2 linked regions of the Astyanax mexicanus genome follow. The protein of the gene in region 2 binds, or shares a complex with, the protein of the main gene of each other region. Links are inferred from orthologs where the notes say so. Each region holds a gene or a part of one and is shown on either strand. Other genes may lie near its edges. The genes, in order: cdk9 and ccnt1.

Region 1 (11,858 bases), on a different chromosome or scaffold from region 2:
TCAAACTGAAGTGCAGCAAAAGTGAATAGGCTTGTTACCTCTGCAGTAATGGAGCCACACAGTTGGCTTATTAGTGTTAGCTGGTGCTGTTCAGTGTTGCCTTGCATGATGGGGCTCCTGGTCCACATCTCAGCCATGATACACCCACCACCCCACAGATCAATAGGAGGTCCGTAATCACGTTCCCCTGTACACGTGCACAAACAAACACAATCAATAGGAAATAGTTCACACAGTAACGTATTACCATAAAACAAATACCATGAAAGAGGGAAAAAATGTTTTTACAAAGGAACATGACTCAGCTTTGAAAGCAGATTCAGTCAATCACCCTAGACATTGACTAAGATTAACGTACAATTAATCTGGAAAATTTAATAAGCGCACCCACAGTGATACTTACGTTTAAGTATACATTGTTAAAAGTTCCGTTAAGTTGGAAAAATGTGGTCAATCATAAATAATCAGCAACTTGTGTGATTTGATTTATTTTTTTTTTATCAATCTATTGCCCTAGTGCCTTGTTAATTTACATTTCATTAAATTGTATAGTTTAACTTGTTTATGTAAAGGTGCAGCTCAAAAATGTAAATATTATTTTACTTTACTTTATTTTAGTAATTTAATTCAAATTGTGAATTATATAGATGTATTACACAGAGAGTAATTTTGATCTATTTTAAGAATTTATTTATTTTATTGTTGATGATTATGGCTTACGACTAATGAAAACCCAAACAGAAAATTACAATATTACATAAGATTAATTGGTACTTTTGGCAGTGTGGGCAGTGTGCCAAGTCCGCATCACTATAAAAGTTGTCAGCAAAGGGAAGCATGATGTGCTGTAAGATTTTCCAGGAAAACACTTAACTAAATTTGGACTTGATGCTATTTGGACTTTGGACAGTAGTTTCAAATTTTGAACTGAATTACTGAATAAAGTAATTTTTCAATTATATTCTAAATTTTTTCGATGCACCTGTAGGTTTCACACATTTTAAAGCAAATAAAAATGTTGGCTTTGTATTATTTAGTAGGAATTAGACTGATGACAGTTCATGGCTGTAAAGAGTGTGCTACAGAATTAGCTACTGGGAACCTTAAAACCCTTTAGTTCCTCACACTTTCATATTAGTTACTGAATAATTCACTGAATAATACACCTTAATCTTACCCAGCAGTAGCTCAGGGGGTCTATACCACAGGGTGACCACTCTGTTGGTGTACCGGTTTCCCTGGCTGTTCTTCGCCAGACTGAATGCCCGGGCTAGTCCAAAATCAGCCAGTTTTAGAATGCCGTCCCTCGTAATCAGAACGTTCGCTGCCTTCATATCTCTGTGCAAGATCTGATCAGGCAGACAAATAAAACATGGTTAAAACCAAACAACTAATCAACTGTGACACATATAAAGTATAAAATGTTTGTAAAATTTTGTAAAAGGATCATGGTCGTGTACACTGTACGCACCTTGTTTCTGTGGATGTAGTAAAGACCATTCAGGAGCATCTGCATGACCTTCTTGATCTCAGCCAGGGTGAACTTAACGTTAGCGTTGCTGAGTAAGCCGGCCAGATCGTGCTCACAGAAATCAAACACAAGGTAGATGCTGCCCTTATACCGGTTAAACTGTGTGGCTAAAAGACAGACAAAAAAACAGAAAGATTTAACAGAGGCCAGTTAGAGTTTAATAAGCTTTAGGTCAAAGAAAACACAGCAGTCCATGGAGCTGCACCACCAATGATCTTAGCGGTACTACTAGAAATTTCTAGTTAGCCTATGGTTACAATAACACTTCACTTAAAAGTTATTTGCCAGTGCAAAATACAGTGCAACAGTGCAGCATACCACTGCTGTCCAAACATGTATATCCATAACTGTCTTTTTTTTTGGTCACAGCAGTTGTCCTTCACAGCATGTCCTAATTTCATAATTAATAGATCAATGAAAATGCTCCAAATTGAGTTTTTACATCAACTTCTATTAAAACTTCAAACATTTTTCTTGCTTCAGATTCTTTAAACAGCAACATTAACAAAATCTGCAAGATTAATTAAATTTGTGCCTACTTACCTTTGGTTCTGCAGATCTCAATGAGGTTCACAACGTTCTCGTGCTTCAACAGCTGCAGAATCTTGATTTCCCTCAGAGCTGTGATGGGAAACTGTAAGAAGTAGTAAATTAGAATAAAATCCAGAATAAAACAATAACTCCAACAAAAAAATGAGCTCAAGTATAATATCTTAAATAAACTTCCAGAGGAACAAGCCCAATCTTGTAAATGTTAACATAAAGCTAAGCTCTCTATACGTACCCCTTCTTTCTCGTTCTCCATGAGCACCTTTTTCAGAGCCACCTTCTTTCCAGTCTGTCGGTGTTTGGCTTTAAACACCTCCCTACAGAGAAGGACCAACAAAGAGAACAGGTGAAAGAGGGTCGGAGCTTTCAGAACATGTTGTACCACAGTGTTCTCCAACCCAACTCTGACTCCAACCAGACAAGCAGACTAACATATGCACAGGACCGTGACCCCAGAAAAGAACACAGTGGGTAAATTAATGGTTATTTTGCAGTGTTTTTTTTTTTGTACTCACAAAATCAATAAAAGGAGTTCTGTTTTACACTAGCTACTTAGCAAGTAACTATCAAGATTGGTACACCATGCTATTGTCAGGTTTCATCATATACTAATAATTTTATTTGCTCATCTAATGTGCTTAGGGATTGCATAAAATATATTTATAAATATCTATTTATTTATTGACTATGGGGAATGAGATTTACTGCAGCAAAAGAAGATTGAAACAATGGTAATTGTTCCATTTCTGAAATATAACAGCGTTGATTTGTGCATTTTAGGTGGATTCAACATTAGCAAAACATTATGACTTAAATAACAATACTTTAAAAATGGGCATTATGTAATGACTAGTTAGCTAAAAAAAAGTGAAAGAAAAAAGAAAATGCAAGGCAAATAAATGTTACATTTGTTTATACAGCTCTGGAAAAAATTATAAAACTTCAGTTTCTGAATCCGTTTCTTGGATTTTGCTATTTATAGGTATATTTGTTTGAGTAAAATGAACATTGTTGTTTTATTATATAAACTATGGACAACATTTCTCCCAAATTCCAAATAACAATAATGTCACTTAGAGCCTTTACTTGCAGAAAATGAGAAATGGTCAAATATACAAAAAGTTGCAGAGCTTTCAGACCTCAAATAATGCAAAGAAAAGTTCATATTAAAAAGTTTTAAGAGTTTAGAAATCAATATTTGGTGGTTTAATCACAGTTTTCAAGCATCTTGGCTTGTTCTCCTCCACCAGTCTTACACACTGCTTTTGGATAACTTTTTGCCACTCCTGGTGCAAAAATTAAGCAGTTCAGCTTGGTTTGATGGCTTGTGATTATATGTATATATATATATATATATATATACATATATATATATACACACACACACACACACACACACACGAGTAATTTGGAATGTCGGCATCAGCCCAGAATGTCCACACTTCTGAATCAATCAATTTTTTTTTATAATTATATGAAGGTAACATTTCACCTGAAACCACTGTAAAAGTTTATAAGTCATCAACATTAAAAGATGTAATCCCACCAAATATGAACGTTGAATCAGTGATATTTGGCATCTGGATTCCAGTGTATCCACAACAATAACGTTAACAATAAGTGCGTTGAACGCAGCAGTTTGAGAGCCAATGAAGCTAACTAACGGTTTTGTGATTTTCAGACTACTCTAACGAATAATTAAATAAAAGGAAATAAACATCGCTCCAGGCAGACACTGCTGTGAGGATTACTTAAGTGAGGTCAAGACTTCACCTCACCCGATACTCAGTCAGGAATACTGTCTGGAGCTCCTTCAGGCCGCATCTCAAAACTGGTTTAAACTCCTCCTGCCCTCGTCTGGAAATACCCACGGTACTAACAGCCTATAGGTTTATGTTTATCTACACATACACATACAGTTGAAGTAGCTAAATGTATTTATCAGAAAGGGTTACCACATATTTAAAAAACACAAGATAGACAGATAACCATAGACTATAGTTAGATAACCAGAGAGATAGACACACAGTAGCTACAGTAGCCGCTTGTTCGTTAGCTAGGTTAGCACTGCCTGTGGCTAACAGTCTCAGTCCGCAGATCAGACTTCATACAGCAGGGTTCCTCCTCTAATCTAACACCCACACCCCGAAGAAATAGCGAGCAGAGCCACCCCGCTTACCCGAAGGTTCCCTGTCCGATCTTGGCGAGTTTCTCGTATTTGGAGAACTCGTCACAGAAGGGAAACTCCACTCCGTCGTAGTATTTGGACATGATGGCGGTCTCCCGGTCCGGCCTGAAACACACACACATCACACCCAGAATCAAACCAGTCCTACACACCGAGCCGCGGGAGGAGCGGAGCCGCCCGGCCGCGGGGACTCGCTCCAACACCCGGAAAACATCAACAAACAAAATCAACCCTTTAATATGATAAAATAATGAATAAATCCATACTTATCAGCCCCGCCGGAGCCTCCGCTCTTCTCTCGCTGCATCTTCGCTGCTCTACAGGGGGAAACTCGCTCATTCACAGCAACTTTAACACAGCGCCGCTCACAGGCTGGAGGACTGACTGCACTCACTCTGCAATAAGCATTTATTAACAATGTCTCATGTTCACTTCACTAAAAGAACGATTAATAATCTTATTAATTCAGCTTCAGTTATTGAAATCAATATAAATGGATAACGATAATAGATCATAGAAATGTGGTCAGTGTAGCGTTTATTACTTTTTTACCGTTTAAGGTTAAATGCAAAAATAGAAAACTGGATGTAAAAACTCATGATTTCATTTTTTTTTGTATAGTGTAGTATACAAGAAAAAGGTTTTATAATTTTTTCCAATTTTATTTATTTTATTTTTTTTTTCATCTCTGCCCCTCACAATCGCAACTTCAGAAAAAAATGATTTTTTTTTTCAATTTTTGCATTTTGCAAATTGAATTATTGGAGTTGTGTTACAAGATACAAAAATGGACAAATTTGAAAAGAGTTGAGAGAACATTTAACTTTTAATTTTTCTTGAAATTCTGAAATGAAAAACATGATAATTGAAAAATTGGATAAAAATCCATTTGTTCTTCATTTCTAAATAAGCTTGATACAGTCAGACAATTAAACTGCTAAACGTTACACTGACCATGGATGAAAACTTACTTTTTGTACACTGCACTACATGTAAAAATAAAAATAAAAATAAATAAAATAATTAGTTTTTACATCCAATTTTCTATTTTGGTATTTAACCTCAAAAGGTCCGAAAATAAATTAATAAACGTTACACTGACCAAATGTAACCCTCGAAGCATATGTTTCTTAGTAACTCCAATTCTGATTCTGAGGGGTGTTAAAAAGTCAGGTTACAAGGTTAAGGTAAAACTCTCTTTTATTTTAGACCGAACATCTATGGACAATACTATTAGATTAGACTGCTAACACTCATGTCTCCCTTTCCCTCTGTGTGCGCGTGAGTTAGCTCATCCACCTTAAATGGTACCGTAATCAGATTACGGCGCCCGAGACACTAGCATGTAATAGCAGCAACTGCTGCACAATTTAAGGTGGAATGGATCATTCAGATAAGCAGTAAACTTTATCTAGCTAAGTTTGTCTCTTGTTTACTGTAACCCAGCCTCGCTTTCTTTTAAGAAGTATAACAAGTTAACCCTGCTAAGGCTGCTTAGCACTTCACCCGTGTAACATATATATATATATATATATATATATATATATATATATATATATCAGTCTAAAAGAGCAGAAGATATATATATATTGTAGCGTGGAAGAGGAATAAGGACTCGAGAGATTCATTGCAAGGTCTCAACAGCTCTTTATTAACAGGCTTGCCACTCACTTATAGCCTTTAACAAGGCTAGGAGAGCGAAACCCATCTGCAACCACAGCTCAAACAGCCCTGAGGCCACCAACCCAGCTATCCAACACAAAGATGGTAAGTCCCCTTAACCCACTCAAAACATACCCCCATAATGCCCCGCTGGCCCCGGATTACCATACCCCGCCCCCACAGGCACACTAAAAGCTGGCACACACACACAGACGCCACAATATATATATATATATATATATATATATATATATATATATATATATATATATATATATATATATATATATATATATATACACACACTGTAGGTGATGTAGAACAGTTGAAGAATACAGTATGCAGAGAGTGGATATCTGAGGTAAATTACGATTAGCCAAGACCTGTAGGTAAATTACTAGTTTTCTGCATCTCACCTAATCCTTCCAATCACTTTGTTATAGTCACTGAATGTCCCCCCCCATTTTCTTTTTCAGTGTCTGTTACCTTAAAAGTATATTTTTGGATAATATTAAATATCTGTCTGCTATATCCTAAAGTACTCATTGAACATGCACATTCTAAGAGACAAATGAAACACTCATATCACTAATTGAGTTTTATTTAAAAAATAATCTTTCAGGGGTGTTTCTGCAAAAAAGGAGAGCTACCTTAAGACAGCAGAAATTTTATTGGATATGTACATTAAATGAACATTTAATATAAGTCTGACTATAGCATTTGTTCATACTCCAGTCGTTATATTTTTGGCTTAATCCTTTTTTCTATAGGAGCTTGTACTGTATATCCAGCTTCAGTGTTCTTTTGTCCAATGCTCGTACAGTGTCTGTTCCAACCTATAAAAAGATTTTCATTATTCATTGGTGGGAGATGTATTCAAGAACATACAAACACTGTATTCACCTCAGAGGTCACCCTACTATGCCTACATGTGGAGGGTCCAGTTTGGAAGGAATGCTCTGTATGTTCTGTGTATTCAGTAGGACATAAATACATTAGCTATTTCAATACAAATAACACTGAATTTGTAGTTGACCATTTTACCTCTGAAGGCCTCTCAGAGCACCCAGAGATAGTATCCTCATCATGGTCATCTCCATCATGATCCTGATCAGCAGCAGCATCCTGATTGGTAATCGGGCAAATTGGATTCTTTGAAACATTTACAACAGACCCTTATAAATCACTGGTTGTTTGGACCAGCAATCAACCGTGCCCACATTTTTAAAATTAGTTTAATTAAAATTTTATTTAAAGAATTACTGCACACTTTCTATAAATCCTATAAACTTCATTTTACTTCTTAAACATTACTATGTTCATCTTCTGTATGATATTTAACTGAAATTGCAGATCTGAACCAACAATGATTTATAAAGAAAAATCATAAAACTTTTTAGGGTGCCAAAAATGTTTTTATACCGTTCAGGTCCATTGGAACACATAAGGTTCTCCACCAATGGAAAGGTGGCGATCCATGGAGAACACACACACACACACACACACAAATAAGAGGTCTTCTTCAGATCGCACTTAGTCTGGAACCTTCCCCTCGACCGTACTGCCATGGGTGACCCTACCAGGAACCTAAGTTCCAGACGGCATCGCTCTCAGGTTCAATGGAACACACAAGATTCTCCACCAACGGCAAGGTGGCGATCCATGGAGAACACACATTCACACCCATTCATACACACACACACGCAAATACACATACAGATCCAAAAACATTAAAATACTTAAAGAAACACATTCCTACATCACAAAAACACATGCAGACATGTATACATATGCATACGCACACAAACACACATGCTTACATGCACAGACACAAAAACACACATACACAAATATATACGCACACAAACACACACATGCATATACACACAATTCAAAACACACATACATACCAAACACATTTGTGCACATACATATACACAGAAACACACATAAATACATGCATATACATACAAAAAGACATGCACACCTACACACGCACATACGTATGCAAACACACATACATACGTACACACGTGCACATAAGAGGTCTTCTTCAGATCGCACTTAGTCTGGAACCTCCCCCTCGACAGTACCGCCATGGGTGACTGGGGGAAACAGAGACAGAGACACAGAAATAAAGGGGAACTGTTGTACACCTTTACTGTTGTAGACAATTTACTAATAATTTCATTGCATAATGCTTGTCAAAAATTTACATAATTGTATACGTAATATATTGTAAAATGCTTATCAATATTGCTGTGACTGCAGGAATGATGTCTAAAGTGTTTTGGACTAAATTATACCATGAATTAACATAATTATTATTAAATGAGATACAGTAAATGGGATATACAGGGAAGCTTCTATAGCTGACAGCAGGATTTAGTCCAAACCCTTACCTGTGCAGCTGGCACTGGCTCCAGTTCAGGCTTTGTGTCCTGAAGGTCCAGCCGGTGAGAGGGATCTGCCTCTTCTACCTGCACCAGGACTCGGCGAGGAGACCTGAAACGACACACAAAGGAGCTCCAAAAGTTGGTGACAGGGCGTTTCAGGGATCTGCGCTGTGTGTTATTGTTAGGTGACAGTGCAGTGTCTCCCTGGCTGGATGGCTCCGGATGAGAGGTGGTGGTGAGGTCTGGAGCTGGAGCTTCTTCGCACTGTCAATGACAAAAACAAAACAATAGGAGATTATTATTCCTTTCACACACCTTTCTCACGGCTTCTTATAACAGGTTTCATAATGAATTGTAGATCTTTAATCATTTTAAGATAGTAGAGAGGCAAAGATTATTTAGGATTAACTGCAAACTCTTACCTGTGCAACTGGACCTGGGATATCAGGCTCGGTAGAGTCCAGCCTGTGAGCGGGGGCTGCCACCAGAACACTCCCAACACGCCGCCTGGGACAGGAAAGCTATGGAGGGGAAGATGAAGGTTTTAAAGACACATATTAACAGATATTCAACAGATTTAAGGTGGTATTTGGTTTTGAAAGCAGCTTTATGACTGTGATGCTTCTCTGCATCTTAATTAATTGTTCATTGTGCTTTTCTCACCTTCTCAATGAGGGCCTTCAGCTTCCCCTCGAGGAACTCGAGCTGAACCCTCCTGAGCTCCGTCCAGGGGTCTGGCTCCTCCTGAATACAACTCAGGATTATATACACTGCAATATAAACTAAACACGCTGCATTTTTAGACAAATCAACAATAACAGTCTGGTAGAGACTCACGCAAAAAGGCAGGAGAGTGGTAGAGTCGCGTGCGCAGTGAGACTCCACCTACAAAAAAAATTCCAACCATTTTTAAAACCAATAATCAACATATGTTGACATATACAAGCATTTACAGTGTGTAAAATGTGATTGTGATGTTTATCTGCATCTTAATTAATTATTCATTGTGCTTTACTGACCTTCTCAATGAGGGCCCTCAGCTTCCCCTCGAGGAACTCATGCTGGACCCTCCTGAGCTCCGTCCAGGGGTCTGGACCCTCACCCTGCCACTGCAAACAGGCAGCCCTCAGCTCCTCAGTGCCCTTCAGAAACATGGGGATAAAAACACAATTGAGGATTATATCCACTGCAGTATAAACTAAACAGGCTGCATTTTAAGGCAGATTAAAAATAAGTTTGAAAGAGATTTACACAAAAAGGCAGCAGAATGAAGGGGTCTCCTGGACCACCAGAAGCCCCCTGCAATAGAAATACATGCAATATACTTTACAATCATTTTAAAAAATAGGACATAAAAATATATACACGAATTTACTGTCCCTGCTAATGCTGATATTGTGAGCAGCTCAGTGAACATTTTAGAGCTTATTTGATGATATTTGTGAGCACATATACCACCCTTTATAGCACCCAAGCAAGGAACCCTTTCCAGACTGATACAGTTATTAAATAAAATGCTAATGTTATGCTTACTAGGTTAGGCTAGCTACTCATCACTTCCTCACACTCCGCCTGCAGAACTAACAGCTGCTGTAATTTATGCTGCTCCACCTCTAGTTTTATCTCTTCACTATATATTTGGTGTAAAATTAGATAATTGTTTATTAACCTCCAGGCGATGCTCTTCGCTACGCCAAAACTCCATGTCGGACCGCAGGGTGTCAGTAAACCCTCACCGGCCTCCGACACCTGAAAAACAAACTTATAAGATTAATAACAGACAATACAGACAATATAACAATAATATAATAAGTAAAACACAATACAATTAATAAAACAGTAAATATGAAATAATAAAAGGGTTTGCTCTCGAAAAATCGCTGAATCTCCTCCGGGAAAACCTGCTGCTGCTGCTGCTGGTCTAGAGTTTACGAACTCTGTAAACAAAACAAGCAATCTTCACTGAACGCTGTCGCGCGCCGCGTCACTTCTGTAGCCATAGAAACGCGTATTTTATATATTTATTTTTAAATGCCATGAGTGTCTGACTGTAAAATATTTATATTTATAGCACAGTTATTAATACAGTTTTCTCTATTATTGCGCAATTAGATGTTGTGGCGAACCCTGGTGGCAAAGAACATTAAATTAATTCTAATTTTTAAACGTGTCTGACTGTAAAAGATTAATATTTATAACATCGTTATTAGTACATTATCTTAATTATAGTGCGATTATATGTTGTGGTGAACCCTGAAGGCAAAAAACATTAAATTACGCAGAATTTTACTTGCATTACAAGTATATTAATAATAATAATAATAATAATAATAATAATAATAATAATAATAATAATAATAAAAATAATAACAATAATAATAACAATAATAATGATTATTATTATTGTTATTATTATTATTATACAAATATCAGTGTTGTTGACAATAATAATAACATCAGCGTTGATAATAATAATAATAACAACAACAATAATAATAACAATAATAATAATTTATCATTTTCATTGTTATTATTATTATTATTATTATTATTACTACTGCTACTATTGTTATAATTAAATAATGTGCAGGAGTAAATAAATTGTTTTAAAAGGTGCTGAACTTTTCTTGTTTAAATGCGTTAGAAAATGACCCTCTGCGTTATTATTACTGCAAAAGACCTGGATTAATAACACAGACATTATTAAATTTAAATAAGTTTTCATAATAATCCACCTTATAAACAAAATAAATGTTGTAGATTTTAAGTAAAGTCAATAACGCTATAAGCACGTGTTACAGAATAGAAAAAACGCAGTCTATGAGTTCGCATAGTGAAATTAGTTAAATATTTTCCTTAAAAAAATGGTCGAGGCTTAGGTGCTGTAGTCACACTAGGTGTGCACAAGCAAAACTAAGGAATTTCATTGAAAAACATTTTTTTTTTTTTACATTTAATCCGGTCAAAAATGTCACCAGTGAGAATACACACATTTCTGTAACGCTGACGGACATAGAATCATCATAACATCTGTTTTTCTCAAGCAAGATAGCTACAGGATTTTTGGAAAGATTGTATTTTATTAACAACTCTAAGACAAGTTAATAACATTACAATGTTGGCTAAATATTACTAACACAACTTAATGCTGATGTTTTAAACACTCTAAAGGTTGGTTAGGACTTCAAAATGATTTGGCTTTGTGTTAAACGTATTGAAAACATGTGAATGTTGACTTTGCTCCTTGTTACATTTGTAGTTTAAAAATCAAAGTATTTTTACATTCATTTTTTTATCCCGTTGTCAGTATGCTCCATGCTAAACTGATATTGTGGACTGAACAGATTAATTCTGCTCAGTCTACTCAAGCAGGTGTAGGAAACGCTCGTGCACTGTTTTCCGGTTTTGGGGTGTGTTACGGGTCCTGGCCAGAGGAGCGCGCTATTGCGCCTCCCCTTTCTTTTTAGCAGCGCCGTGCAGCGGCCGAGCACGTGAGTCCCGTCATATCCGAGCAGTGTTGCATGTGCTGTTC
Region 2 (12,682 bases):
TTATGTATATGTATAATAGTGCATCCCAAAAAAATATATATATCATATATATATTTTAAGCGTTTATTTATTTTTTAATATAAATAATAATAAAGGCTTACCAGCCAATGAAAACACAAAATGTAATATACAAGACTAATTCATTTCACTTCAGTATGGGCAGTGTGCCAAAACCTGCTGGAAAATGAAATCCGCATCTCCATAAAAGTTGTCAGCAGAGGGAAGCATGAAGCGCTGTGAGATTTTCTGGGAAAACACTGCACTGATTTAAAACACACTTAACCCCGTTGAGAATCTTTGGGATGTGCTGGATGGAGAAGGCTTTGTGCAGCTGTCAGACTCTAAAATCATCAATACAAGACCTTGGTGAAAAATTAATGCAATCAAAGCTAAAGGCGGTCCAACAAAATATTAAAAGTGTGTGATGTTAGTGTGTGTTTTTACTGCATTGCCAAAATATTGGATCGGACTTGGTATCAGAAAACACAAACAATGCAAAAATGCAAACTATTAAAGCGATTAAAACTGTAATTCCAACATCCGAGTTTAAATAGAACGCAGCACTAATAATGTGCATTGGTGTACAAGTATGTGACTGAGCTACAAATGGCACTTTTAAACTGCATGTTACCTACACTACTCAACTCGACTTTTAGGTAACTGGAACCACGTACATTTTTTTAGTACCTGCTCGCTCTTGGTTCCAAGTGAGCAAGGTAATGAGTACAACACGACAACTCTATAAATAGTAGAGTTGAGCAAAGTATGTACCATGCAGTGGAAAAGTTAAAACTGGTTATAAAGAGGACCTTACCTCGCACAAGCTGAGTGCACTTGACTACATGACTGTGAGGATGGTCAATGGTGATATCAAAGGCTAGAGCGACAAGGACAGAAGAGAAACAGAGAGAAACAGTGAGATTTAAATGAGCTAAATAAAAAAAACAGTAAGCTTACAGGTCAGTACAAATGCAACACATCTGGGCTTTTGGATTGGCTAAAGAATTCATGGCCGTTTGTGTCGTCTCTGTACTTTTCACAGCCCAATTAGGACTGTGCTGTAGCCATTTAGCTTTACTGATTGTAACGAAGTGCTCTGTTCTGTTTCTTCAGACGAATGATCCTAGACAGGACAAATATATATATATTTTTGGAGTTAAAAAGGGAAATGCCTTTCTTTGCAAAATGTTTTGAGCCACTCTTACAGTTAATATAATAAAATATAATAAACAAAAAGGATGACCAACAAATCAATTTTTCTCTGTGCCAATCTGCATTTGTGTAAAGAATGGCTCAGAAATTCTCTAAAAAGGTATGAAAAAAAGGGAAAGCACTGCCAGGTTGACATGGAAACAAGAAAGAACTGAAAAAAGGTGAGACAGTAGCAACAGTGGCTGAGTTACAAGGAGCTTTCTTTGTAATGCTCTGGCTGATGGCCGACTCCCGGGACTGTGCTGTGGACGGGAACAAACAGGGTTAAACACAGTGCTTCTCTCTAAAGTCACTCATAGACCCACTTCCTCCGTTCCAAACTTACCGAGGGTCTGGAGTATTATGCTCTCAAGAGCGACCAGGTCTTGGGATTGTTGCACGTACGTCTGAGATCGAGAGGACAGGCAGGTTACTCACAGGCTCGCACGCTCTCACGTCATATTCTCTCTCTTTCTCTCGCTCACTACAACTGTTTCTAGTTACCGTATTTTTCGGACTATAAGGCACACTTAAAATATTTTAATTCCCTCAAAAATTGACAGTGCACCTTCTAATCCGGTGCTCCTTATGTACTGATTTAAACAGTCAGGTATTAGGAAAGAAGCAGCAAAGCCACTCCGCTGAAGTACAGAGTTATAAGGGTGAGCTGTCAGTAAAGTTTCTCCAGCACTAAGGCGGGAGGCTTTTTTATAATTAGCTACATGGAACAAACCGCTATCTGATAGTGCCCTGGGTTACCGGAAAGCTCAGGGTTCCTCAATCTAGCGCGTTCGGGTAAAATTCACATCCCACTAGCATTGCGTTTAGCAGCTAATGCTAATGCTGCTGCACCTAGCCTTAATGCTGGAGAAACTTCACTGAAAACTCGCGCTTAGACAAAATTTTGGAAACATGGCAACACCCTTGCTCACTTCAATATAGGAATCCTTACTAAGTCCGAAAATTACGGTAATCAATACTTCACAATAAAACACCTCAGTTCAATCACTTCCATCAACAGTCAATTAAAGCACACTAAATCAGACATACAGGAGTGATCAGACTGAAGTGTTAGGCACACAAATCATCCACCCTGAAAGGAAGAAAAGTCATGAGTTAATCTCGCACTGAAAGAATTAGCACGCTTAGCCAATGGCGGGGTCTGAGAAGCGGCAAAGGTTTGCTGAAGCATTAACAGCCAATTGCTGTGAAGAATATGAAAAATGTTCCACACCCTGTTTGAAGAAAAAAAAAATAGTAATAATAAGAGGGATGAAAAGAGGGCTGTGCAAGAGTGGCTGCTTCACATTAGAACATTTTTAATTCCGGTCTACAGTTATGATTAATTGAAGCTATCAATAAAGACAAGGGTGTGGAGGATTGAAGAATAATTGAAGAAATTTGAGCAAATTTATGAATAATTGGACAGACTTTAGACTAGAAAGAATGGGTCTTAAACATCTTTCAACAAACAACCTGAGACTATCACAATTTTTGTCCTGTTTACATCAAGTATTACCATGAAAATATGAGTGACTGGATCACAAGCAGTGTTCAGCAAGGACAGAATCTTCTGTCTAATAGAGAAAATCGGCACATTAAAGGCAAATCTACAGCCTGAGAGACAGATGAGCCTTCTGCTTGTGTTTCTTCTTCTGCTGGTATGTCTGTGTATCTGTGACTGTTTAGTGTAAATACTAATGTTATTAAGCAACCTTGGGTTTAGCCATCAAATACAAGGTTGTGGGTTCAATACCCGAGGTGGGCAAGCTCAGAAATATAACTGCACAACGCAGACTGCAGCTGCTGTGATTGGTCTGTCGAGCCTTGTGTTACCGCCCACAACACTACAGCAAAGACCGTCCACCTTTCTGTGCATTTGTTCTCACAATATCACTGTGTCTACTGAGTGTACTCACGATTGTATATGTGTGTGTTCACTGTATGGATGAATTAAAAGCGATGGCCAAATTCCATGGTGGTCTTGTCTTGTAACAAAGTCTCACTGACTCTTGTTATCTGTTCACTCTAAATATATATATATATATATATATATATATATATATATATATATATATATATATATATATATATATATATATATATATATGCTAATACCAGATGCAAACAAGACTTCTGACACCAAAAAATAAAATGACTGCTTTCTTTCAGAGTGGCTTTTACGTGTGACAACTTATCACAGTTACTTGGGCCTCATTTACAAAGCTCTTAAAGATAGCTCAGACACACATTCATCCATGCTGCACAAACATACTGTCTATTAGAAATATAATACTTACGTCACTCCTACTGTCCAGAGTAGGGTCCTGAGGATTTAAACATGCATGGGCCACCCTGATTACATGTTCCAACTTACGAGGCTGTTCCTCCACCTTGGATGCTAAAAAGAGTGCAGCTGGAGCGATCACCTGCAACAGCACATGGCAGACAACAAAATAATTAAAATAGAATTACTACCTTTTAAAAGAGCAATTGGCTTTTCATATTTTCATAGTGTTTAAGCATTAGAATTGAAATACATGTTTAAATATTCTAAATAAATAAATTAAACATACTTTTTCTACACATGCCTCAAAATACAAGCTCTAAGCAGAACACTTACATTACGATGAAAGAGTGTGAAGGACTGGACCATGTAGAAACGATGCATGTAGACGATGCCAGTGTTGATTGACAGTTGGGACCTGTTAATCTAAGGTTAAGGACCATATCTTTCTAGGAACAATCAAAATACCGCACCAATATAAACATGTACCTGTACCGCTGTCTGTTAATTAAACTGTTTCTCACTAGGGATGCCACCCAAGTGCTTGTGCAGTCTCCGAAATTTAAGAAATGACAACTGGCTGGTCTTTCTTTGCAAGCCATCAGACTCCTGCAACTTATTCAGAACGTAGCAGCATGAAGTTGTTTTCACTTTTCCTAAGTTCAGCCATTTAACATCTTAAATTTGTGAAATGAACTTTCCTCAAGCACCTGATTAGCAAAAAGGCTGGCCGAGAAGAGTATCAAAATCCCTCTCCTCCACCACAGACATCTACACCACACGCTGCATCCGCAAAGCCACCACCATCCCTCACACAGACTCTTCGCTCTGATGCCGTGAAGATACAGGGGCATTCGAGCCTCCACTACCAGACTCTGCAACAGCTTCTTCCACCAGGCACTCAGTCTCCTCAACACTCAGAGACAGAGCTGAACCCTTTCATCCACCATACACCCAACACACTCACGCAGAACTGAACTGAACTCCTATTGTTTTGTTGTTCCATGTTGCACCATGATTCCGGAGGTACATCATTTCATTACACTGTGTACCTGAACTCAGATGTAGCGTTAATGACACTAAAAGCCTCTTGATTTGACTAATTAAATATTGCTAGTGGCTTCATAAACAAAATATATCCCAGATACCTGAAATGTAATGATATAAACATCACAAAATAGGATAAAACACCATGTTTTAGCTTATTACAATCACATAAGAGAACAAAATAAAAATATCTAACATAAAGCTAGCTAACTAAATGGCTAAAAACAAAGATTTGCCTCTGCATAATAGCGAAACTGAAACTCGCCTGCCTGCATAACTAGCTAAAGCTATCTTAGCTTAGGTTTGCGTAGATACCTAAAAGCCTGCATTAAAACACAACGTATGGCCTTTGTTTATCTAAATAGGCTAGCAAACTTAGGTTAAAAACCTACAAAATGATTTCTAAATCGCTTTAAAATAGACAAAACAAGCAGAAAACAAGCTAACTAGATAGCTGTAGTGTCTTAGCCGCTAGCTAACGTTAGCTAGCTACCAAGCTAACAACAAGAACAACTCTGAAGTAAAATCGCTCTTTTACCTATATATTTAACGAAAAGTCGCTAACTGTCTAAGAGAAAAGCTTCTTAAGTCTAGATTTAGGGATATTAAAACGCTCTAATGCCGATTATTTAGTCAATATATTAGTTAGCTTAGCAGCAGCTCTGCTATTGTTCTTTATAAGGAGCTGGCTAATCCAGGTCCGGAATTTAAAAATCCGTTCCTGGATTTCGCAGCGAGTGCCAGGGCGGCTCGGCTGCAGCTGAGCCGCCCAGGCGCTCGCAGCGAAATCCAGGAACGGATTTTTACACTCCGGACCTGGATTAGCCAGATCCAGCCGAGGCCTACACATCCCAGAAGTCTCAGCCTGCAGGCGGCTAAAGCTAGTTAGCTAGCGTCGCCGGTTCACTCACGACAGCCTGGTTCAGCCTCAAACGGCGTTCAAAGCGTGATTTAACGTCGTTTTAACTCCTTACTGAACGAAGCACTGGTCCGCCGGAGCCAGCAGCCGGTGTACCCTCTCCTTACCGGCCCCGAGCTGCAGCCAGTGCGCGGAAAAAGCTCCGGTGTAAAGGATACAGGTTGAGCCGCTGCCCCATGTCCTGGATGAAGTTGGCCGCCTGCTGCCGGTAAGACAGCTCTTTGTCGGGGTCGAGTCCTGCCCGTCGGGACGGGCTGTTTTCGATCTGTTCGCGGGTAAAATACCATCTACTCTCTTCCTCCAGAGGAGACACGAACGAAGCCGCCATTGCTGAGAAGGGCAATATTTTTTAAAAATCGTGGTTCGTCATAGGAACTGCGTCGGCGTCGCACCGACGTCATCAGACTCGCAGGCTGGGGCGAGCAGTATCGAATCGGTTCCAACGAACCGATTCAGTCACGAAGCACTGAACTGACTCGGCACGAACGTCGAATCAACGTTCAGTGTTTCATCGCCATCGCATTGAGTTGATTCATTTTTGCGATTTTACGTTGATTTAACGTTGATTAAACGTTAATTAAACGTTAAACATTCAGTAAACACAAACAAAAAAAATATTGTCGCTGTTCAGTATTGATTCAACGTTGATTTAACGTTATGGTTTTATTGTAAATGTAGGCTAAATATTTTTTAAATTAAGCGTCTAACTTATTTTTTCAGGAAACATAAAAATATTGTCACTATGCAGTGTTGATTTAACGTTGATTTAACATTATGATTTCATCATATATGTATGCTTTGTATCAAATTTTACCTCAAAATACTTTCTTCTCTCTACTTTCAGGTTTTTTAGGAAAAGCAAAAAACATATCATAGCTATGGAACGTTGATCCAACATTTGTTAAATGTTATGGTTTTATTGCATATATATGCTTTTATATTCAACTTTTCCTTCATTAAATACTGACAAAAATATTCCCTAAAATAATTTCTAAATAAAATCGTAACTCATTTTCTAAAGTTTTTCAGGAAACACAAAAAATATATCATTGTTATTTAGTGTTGATTCAAAGTTAATTCAACATTATATAGTATAGTATTATTTTACTATATATGAATGCTTTGTATTAAACTTTACCTATATTTAATATTAACATAAAAAAAAATTAAAGGATCAATAGAAAAACTAACAGTTCCATAAATCGTTCCCTTGATTTAATACATCATATAGAATCGATTCAGTTAATTTGAACCGACTTGTGAATCAGTAATAGCGGTTCAGTGAATGAATCCGTTCAATCGAGTGATTCGTTCACTGGTCGGATGTCGTAACTTTGCTGCGTCCGTTGTAGCAGAGCTGGTTTAATGGAGAGACTGGTCACTTATTACCTCACCGTTAAAACACAAAACTACCGCGAGCCGCTAGAGGGAGCCCGCGAGAGAGTGTTTAATAAATGAGGGTGAATAGAGCTAAACGGCTAAAAACACAAATTAAACACAGTAATTATCTCCTTCTTCAGAATATTCATTTCATTTTAGATATTACATTGAATTAATACACTAAAAACACAAAGATAACTAATGTTTATTTCGACCTTTTTTCTACAGTAAACGATTTTTGGACAACAGACACGCTAGCATTACTGCTATTGTGCGCTAAAGGATTGGTTAGTGAACTGATGCTGAAGTTACAGCAAGAACACCGAGTTTAAAAGATTTATAACTGTATATTTAAAGCTATAAAATGTATTTATACAGTACTAAAACATTTAATATTGTGTTGTGTTTAGAAAAGTAAAAAAAAAACTTAAACATTTATAATCTCAGATTTTGCCGAATTACTCCATATGAATCCACTCAGAATTGAGTTTAAAAGACAAGAAATATAACTGGAATTTAAAATGTTTAATAATTATATTAGCTATTCTAAAATATTGTATAATGTACTGTGTTGCGAAATCGAGCTGTTTGTGTTGGGAAACTGAGTACATTTTTTCAGTAAATTAATCCATTTATATGAAGTAATTGAGCTTTAAAGCTGTAGAATGTACCGAGTACATGTTTCAGTATAAAAATTCTCAAACATTAATAATTTTTGATTTTGTTCAATTACTCTATATAAATATATTTATTTTTGACTCACTCGGGAGCGCCCCCTGGCGGTACGGTGGTACGGTTAACACGGTAAAGTGGGTCTTCTCCTCTATAGAGACTTTCTGATTGTAGATCATAACAGAGCCGGTGAACCGGCGGGTTGTTATGGGGGGAAACTCGAGCGCTTATTTTGGATTTACTGTAATTTATAACATATTTATTCATCTAAAACGTTGTTTTTGTGGTTCCTAAAGATAACCCAGTAAACAGGGCGCTGTTACAGCTGTCTGAGGGAAGAAGCGGGGCGCTTTTAAACTGTAAATTGGGAGATTTCTCCTTTTTAACCCAATATGTTGTGTTTACCTTAAATCTGGGGCTGTTATTTAAAGGTACGTGTACTTAAAATCAATTCAATAAATGCTACATATAGATATATTGGTGTTTACGCAATGTTCAGTTGCATTCTTCTGTTATTGGGCGTCTGTTATTGGGCGACACAGCAAGGGCTATGTTCCAGTAAATAAGTAATACTTTTTTATATAAAAAATATGTATTTAATTATTTGATATGTTTTATATTATTCCATAATTGTTTTATTATTTTTATTCAGGTCTTCACATATTTTCATATGACATTTTCACTGGATACTCTTCTGTCCTCTTGTTTAACAGTTTAACAGGCTCTATAATGTAATATAGTTAATCTACTGTGGTCAATTTAATTATTGATTTGAACGCTCTAGGCTAGCACCTTTGTAATGCTTTGTTATTCTGTTATCATTATGTCAGTTGCATTTAATGTCACAATAATGTCTATAGACGATATATAGTTAAAAAAAAATCCCTTAAGGAAATAATTGTGGTTGGTGGATCATCATGTCAGCCAACTGTGGAGCTTCAAAAGTGGCAACAGTAATCAGGCAGACTAGACTGCTCCACCTGCAGATTTGTTTTTTAGCTGTATCTAGTTTGTGTTTATTTACATATATATTTATGTATATTGCAGATTTCAAAAGAGCACATGTCCGGTATGAAAAATACATGGACTATGGTCACTCTTATGTTTCGCAGATTTCTAATAGTTCACAGTTTCTCTTGTGTGTGTGTGTTTTTTTTTTTAGAATGATCAGGACTCTTTCCAAAGAAGTTCAAGCGAAGCTGCGTTCTGGCGTCGCTGTTTTCTCCCTGCAGCAGTGTGTGGAGGAGCTTGTTCTGAACAGCATTGATGCTGGAGCGACATGCATCGCTGTGAAGATCGACATCGAAGCCTGCAAAGTTCAGGTGATAGACAACGGCTCCGGGATGAGCCGAGAGGACATGGAGAAGGTGGGGACGAGGTACTGCACCAGCAAGTGCAGCTCGCTGGAGGACCTGGATGACCTGAGATTCTATGGGTTCAGAGGGGAGGCCATTGCCAGCATCGCCTCTCTTTCTACCTTGGTGGAAATATCCTCACAGACCAAGGCGTCGGTGAAAACGTTCGTTAAAACCTTTAATGAAGGCAGGGGGTCAGGCGTTTGCGAGGTGCAGGATACCCGTCCGTCACCCGGGACTACGGTGCTGATCTGCAACTTCTTTCATAACATGCCGGTCAGGAGGAAGAGGATGGACTCTGTGCTGGAGGTTGAGCGTCTTCGGCAGAGAGTGGAGGCCATATCCCTGATGCATCCGTCCGTATCGTTCACTGTGAAGAAGGACTGCTCGGGGACCATGCTGGTGCAGCTTCCCAAAGCCAGGAATACCTACTACAGGTTTGTTCAGATCCATGGATTGGGAAGAGCTCAGAAGCTCAGAGAGGTGAACTTCACTCACGGACAGTTTGAGATGACTGGATCGATTGGGCGCGAGGGTCATTACAAAAACAGCCTGCAGTTTTTGTTCGTAAACAGCAGACTCGTGCTGAAAACACGCCTTCACAAACTACTCAACTGCCTGCTCAGGAAACTGAGCAGCTCTAGCAACCAAAACAACAGTCCCAATGCCTCTGCTGTCACCTCCAGCCCCAAGCAAAGAGGAGGCGCCGATTCACACGGCGTTTATGTCATCAACCTTAAGTGCCCCTACTCTGAGTATGATGTTTGCCTGGAGCCGGCAAAGAGTCTTATCGAGTTCAGAGATTGGGACGCTGTCCTCTTCTGCGTCGAGGAAGGCGTGAAATCGTTTCTCACAAAGGAAAACTTGGTCTCAGAATTTTCTGTGAGTGACGCCCAAACCTTTGCGAGTGTTTTTAGCGACCCAACAGGCAGTAGTAGCCCATGCAGTAAAGCGACGGCACAGTCGCGGGACAAAGAGTCGACAGTGTGCGAAAGTGACTTAAACGGAAATATGACTCAGGTTAACTCAGGTGATCAAACGGAAAGTGTCCAAAATCTAAGTTTCGACCAAATTTTTGACAGAGGGTCCTCAAATGCAGAGTCTGCGGCAGGTTCAGAAGCAGAGGCAGAAAGTAAAGAAGTTCAGAGTGTTGAAAAACCTTCGCTGCAGAGAGATCTCGAAGATTACGGGAATTCGCAAGACTTTGAAACGAGTGTCCATGACCTGCAACTTATTGATACCCTCAGCAACAACAGTACAATGACACATCAGGAATTTACGCAAAGCAAGGTTGCCGTAATTGGTCCTAACGAAGCTCAGGACAGTTTGAGAAGATTTGCAGAGCCTAACATCTGCTGTGCACCAAAGAGAAAACTGTCCTTGCTCCAAACTCAGAGTTTGTGCTTAGAAAGTGGCGTTGGGCCCAAAATGGCAAAGGTCGCGCCACGTCGCAAATTAACACTGGCTTTTGAAACGGGATCTCTTGACAAGTTCAAGAGGATGTACGGAAAATCTTCCGAACGTCAGTCTGTGGAAACACAAATCGCTAATGCTTTACAACCTTCAGACTGTGTATTATCTTCTGAAGGTCCTGCATTGCCTGCTTTACAAGGTACCGGCGTCAGTTCACTCATCTTTGAGCCTGAACAAGTCGAAAAGACTGAAAAGACTCATTCTGAGAACTTCTTAATCAAAAAAGACAGTATGCTTACACTTTCTGCTTACAGCCAAACGAAATGTTCAACATCAGCCAGCTCAAGGACTAAAATATCATTAGCTGCAAAGCTCTCGCACTTAAAATGCGACAAGATAGTTCAGAAGGAGAAAACACCTTATGAAGAAGGAACCTTTGATGATACCAGAAATGAAGAAACTACCTCTGTAACCCAACATGCTCAACGTGCAGCAGACTCTGAGGAGACGTTTGAAGACTCTCTGTCTCAGTTTAAAACTTCAGAGGACACTGACGGTTCTTCAAAACAAATGACTGAGACAAATGATCCAAATGAACCCACCCACAAATTCACTGTTCCCAATTTACCTAACCCATCAGCTGGAGACGCTCTAAAAAGAGTTTCTGAACTTATGACTTCCTCAGAGCCAGCTATTCCCTCAGGACACGTAATTAACCCTGCATCACAACATGAGCCTCTGCCCACCCAAACAGGAAATGAGGTCCAGGCTCCAGACGAAAGTCCGGGCGATGAAAGTGATGTGCCGGCCCCGGTGTCGAGTGACTGGAGGACACATTACGACGACTCTCTGGGAAAGTTGGTCTACATCAATCAGGTGACCGGACTCAGTACATACGAAGCTCCATCACTGGAGGAGAATCCCGTACCCTGCTCCAAAGATGTCACCAATATGGCGGTCAGCGTTGTTTCTAAAACAGGTAGGACTATTGCACTTTAAATGTTTCTGAGAACTGTGTGATTGAGAGCTGTTTTATCACTGGCGAACAGTTGCTTCTTAACATTAAGACAAAATAAGATAAAGACAGATGAGACAGATTACTTGGTAAATATTTGGATAGCTTGCTAGTTAGCGCACTAAGATGGTTGCTAAGCGACAGTACGTCAGCATCACAGTTCCGGTTGCTCAGACTCGAAGTGCGGGCGGAGTTATAGAATTAGCCTTGTGATTGGTCAGGGTTCTGCTGATGTCAACTTAGACCAACTCTTTCTACTGTACATCCAGAGAAGAGTGATAATAATAAAATACAGCAGGTATTTATTTGATTTTTTTTAAAGATTTTAATAAGAAGTTAAGCCAATTTAGAATAAAAACTCCCCAGGGGATTTAACACTGGAACCTGAGCCTACAAGTTAATATTCTAGGCTTTGTATTAAAAGTGTTAAAAAGAATATTTTCTTCACTGTTTAAGCAGGATGTTATTTAGATTTATTTAAATATGTATTTTCTGTTTTAGGTAAAAAGAAAATGCATTCTAAAAAGGTATTGTCCTCAATCTCTAAAAACAATAGAAACAGCTGATCATGAGGTTTTAAAGGCATTTAAATGTGTAGATTTTGTTTAAATTTGCGTTTGGGCACTTTTGGAGACACAGACTAAATTGAGTGTAAACTGTGTGAGTTTGAGCCATTTACCCTCATTTATCCCCCTTTGCGCTTCTGTCCCCAGCACTTTTTGTAATGCGGTACTTTTACAAATTAACGATTAGTCGACAATGAAATTTTTAGTCGACAAATTTAAATAATCAACATTGTCGATTATATCGACTAATCGTACAGCCCTAATAAACATTAGCAAAAGACAAGTCTTTAAGCCAGATCATTTCAGCCAATTAAGTCAATTAAGGCATCAATACTGGAGAATTCCACATTTAGAAAACTGAGGTTTTAATCAGTGTTTTTTTGTCTGTAGGGTTTGAGTACAGGTGCTACCCGTTTCAGACAGATATTGTACTGCCCTTTCTCCCCAAACCCAGCGCAATAAGAGCCTTAGCTTCCAGCGTAGGCTGCAGAGGTAATGCATGTCACCAGTCAGAGCAGGTTTAACATCCTCACACTCTCATTATTCTGCTTATACTATTGACTGTGCTTCTCTCGTTCTTTTCAAGATGAGCTCCAGGGTCCTGGTTCACTTTCTGCTCTCTTCTCGGAGTGGAATAACCCAGTGTTCGTACGACCCCCTCAAGTGAGTAAAAAATAGTTATAGAATTATAATTATAGGGATATTTCAGTTGCAAATACAAGTTTTATTCAGATATGTTTAACCTGCCTTTATTTAGAAGTACTTAACTGTATTTAACTGATGCAGAAAACACATGCAAAAAATAGGCTTTATCTAATTTTCTAAAATTATTTTATA

Evidence for each region.
Region 1: the proteins of ccnt1 (region 2) and cdk9 are in contact, whole or in part, in a crystal structure (PDB 3BLH), measured with the Homo sapiens proteins. The link is inferred for Astyanax mexicanus from reciprocal best matches to the Homo sapiens genes CCNT1 and CDK9. Residues at the interface, in NP_001231.2 of Homo sapiens: Arg5, Lys6, Arg11, Trp12, Arg26, Ile72, Gln73, Phe78, Phe89, Leu90, Lys93, Val94, Pro98, Lys99, Lys100, Leu101, Val134, Glu137, Ile139, Leu141, Gln142, Thr143, Gly145, Phe146, Glu147, Leu148, Thr149; in NP_001252.1 of Homo sapiens: Val8, Glu9, Cys10, Pro11, Phe12, Cys13, Lys56, Glu57, Gly58, Phe59, Ile61, Leu64, Ile67, Lys68, Gln71, Leu72, Leu81, Ile82, Glu83, Ile84, Arg86, Ile99.

Annotation. Positions count from the first base shown.
Region 1 is NC_064424.1:25,620,856-25,632,713, forward strand, and holds the start of cdk9 (cyclin-dependent kinase 9), read right to left. Parts: upstream 4,661-11,858; 5' UTR 4,576-4,660; coding exon 4,535-4,575; intron 4,374-4,534; coding exon 4,260-4,373; intron 2,398-4,259; coding exon 2,316-2,397; intron 2,166-2,315; coding exon 2,075-2,165; intron 1,639-2,074; coding exon 1,472-1,638; intron 1,350-1,471; coding exon 1,178-1,349; intron 188-1,177; coding exon 39-187; intron 1-38. UniProt on the Homo sapiens protein: Protein kinase involved in the regulation of transcription.
Region 2 is NC_064420.1:1,461,697-1,474,378, forward strand, and holds the start of ccnt1 (cyclin-T1), read right to left. Parts: upstream 5,941-12,682; 5' UTR 5,773-5,940; coding exon 5,603-5,772; intron 3,897-5,602; coding exon 3,815-3,896; intron 3,621-3,814; coding exon 3,492-3,620; intron 1,599-3,491; coding exon 1,538-1,598; intron 878-1,537; coding exon 815-877; intron 1-814. Other genes in the region: DNA mismatch repair protein Mlh3, read left to right, coding at 8,660-11,243, 12,236-12,337, 12,432-12,508. UniProt on the Homo sapiens protein: Regulatory subunit of the cyclin-dependent kinase pair (CDK9/cyclin-T1) complex, also called positive transcription elongation factor B (P-TEFb), which facilitates the transition from abortive to productive elongation by phosphorylating the CTD (C-terminal domain) of the large subunit of RNA polymerase II (RNA Pol II).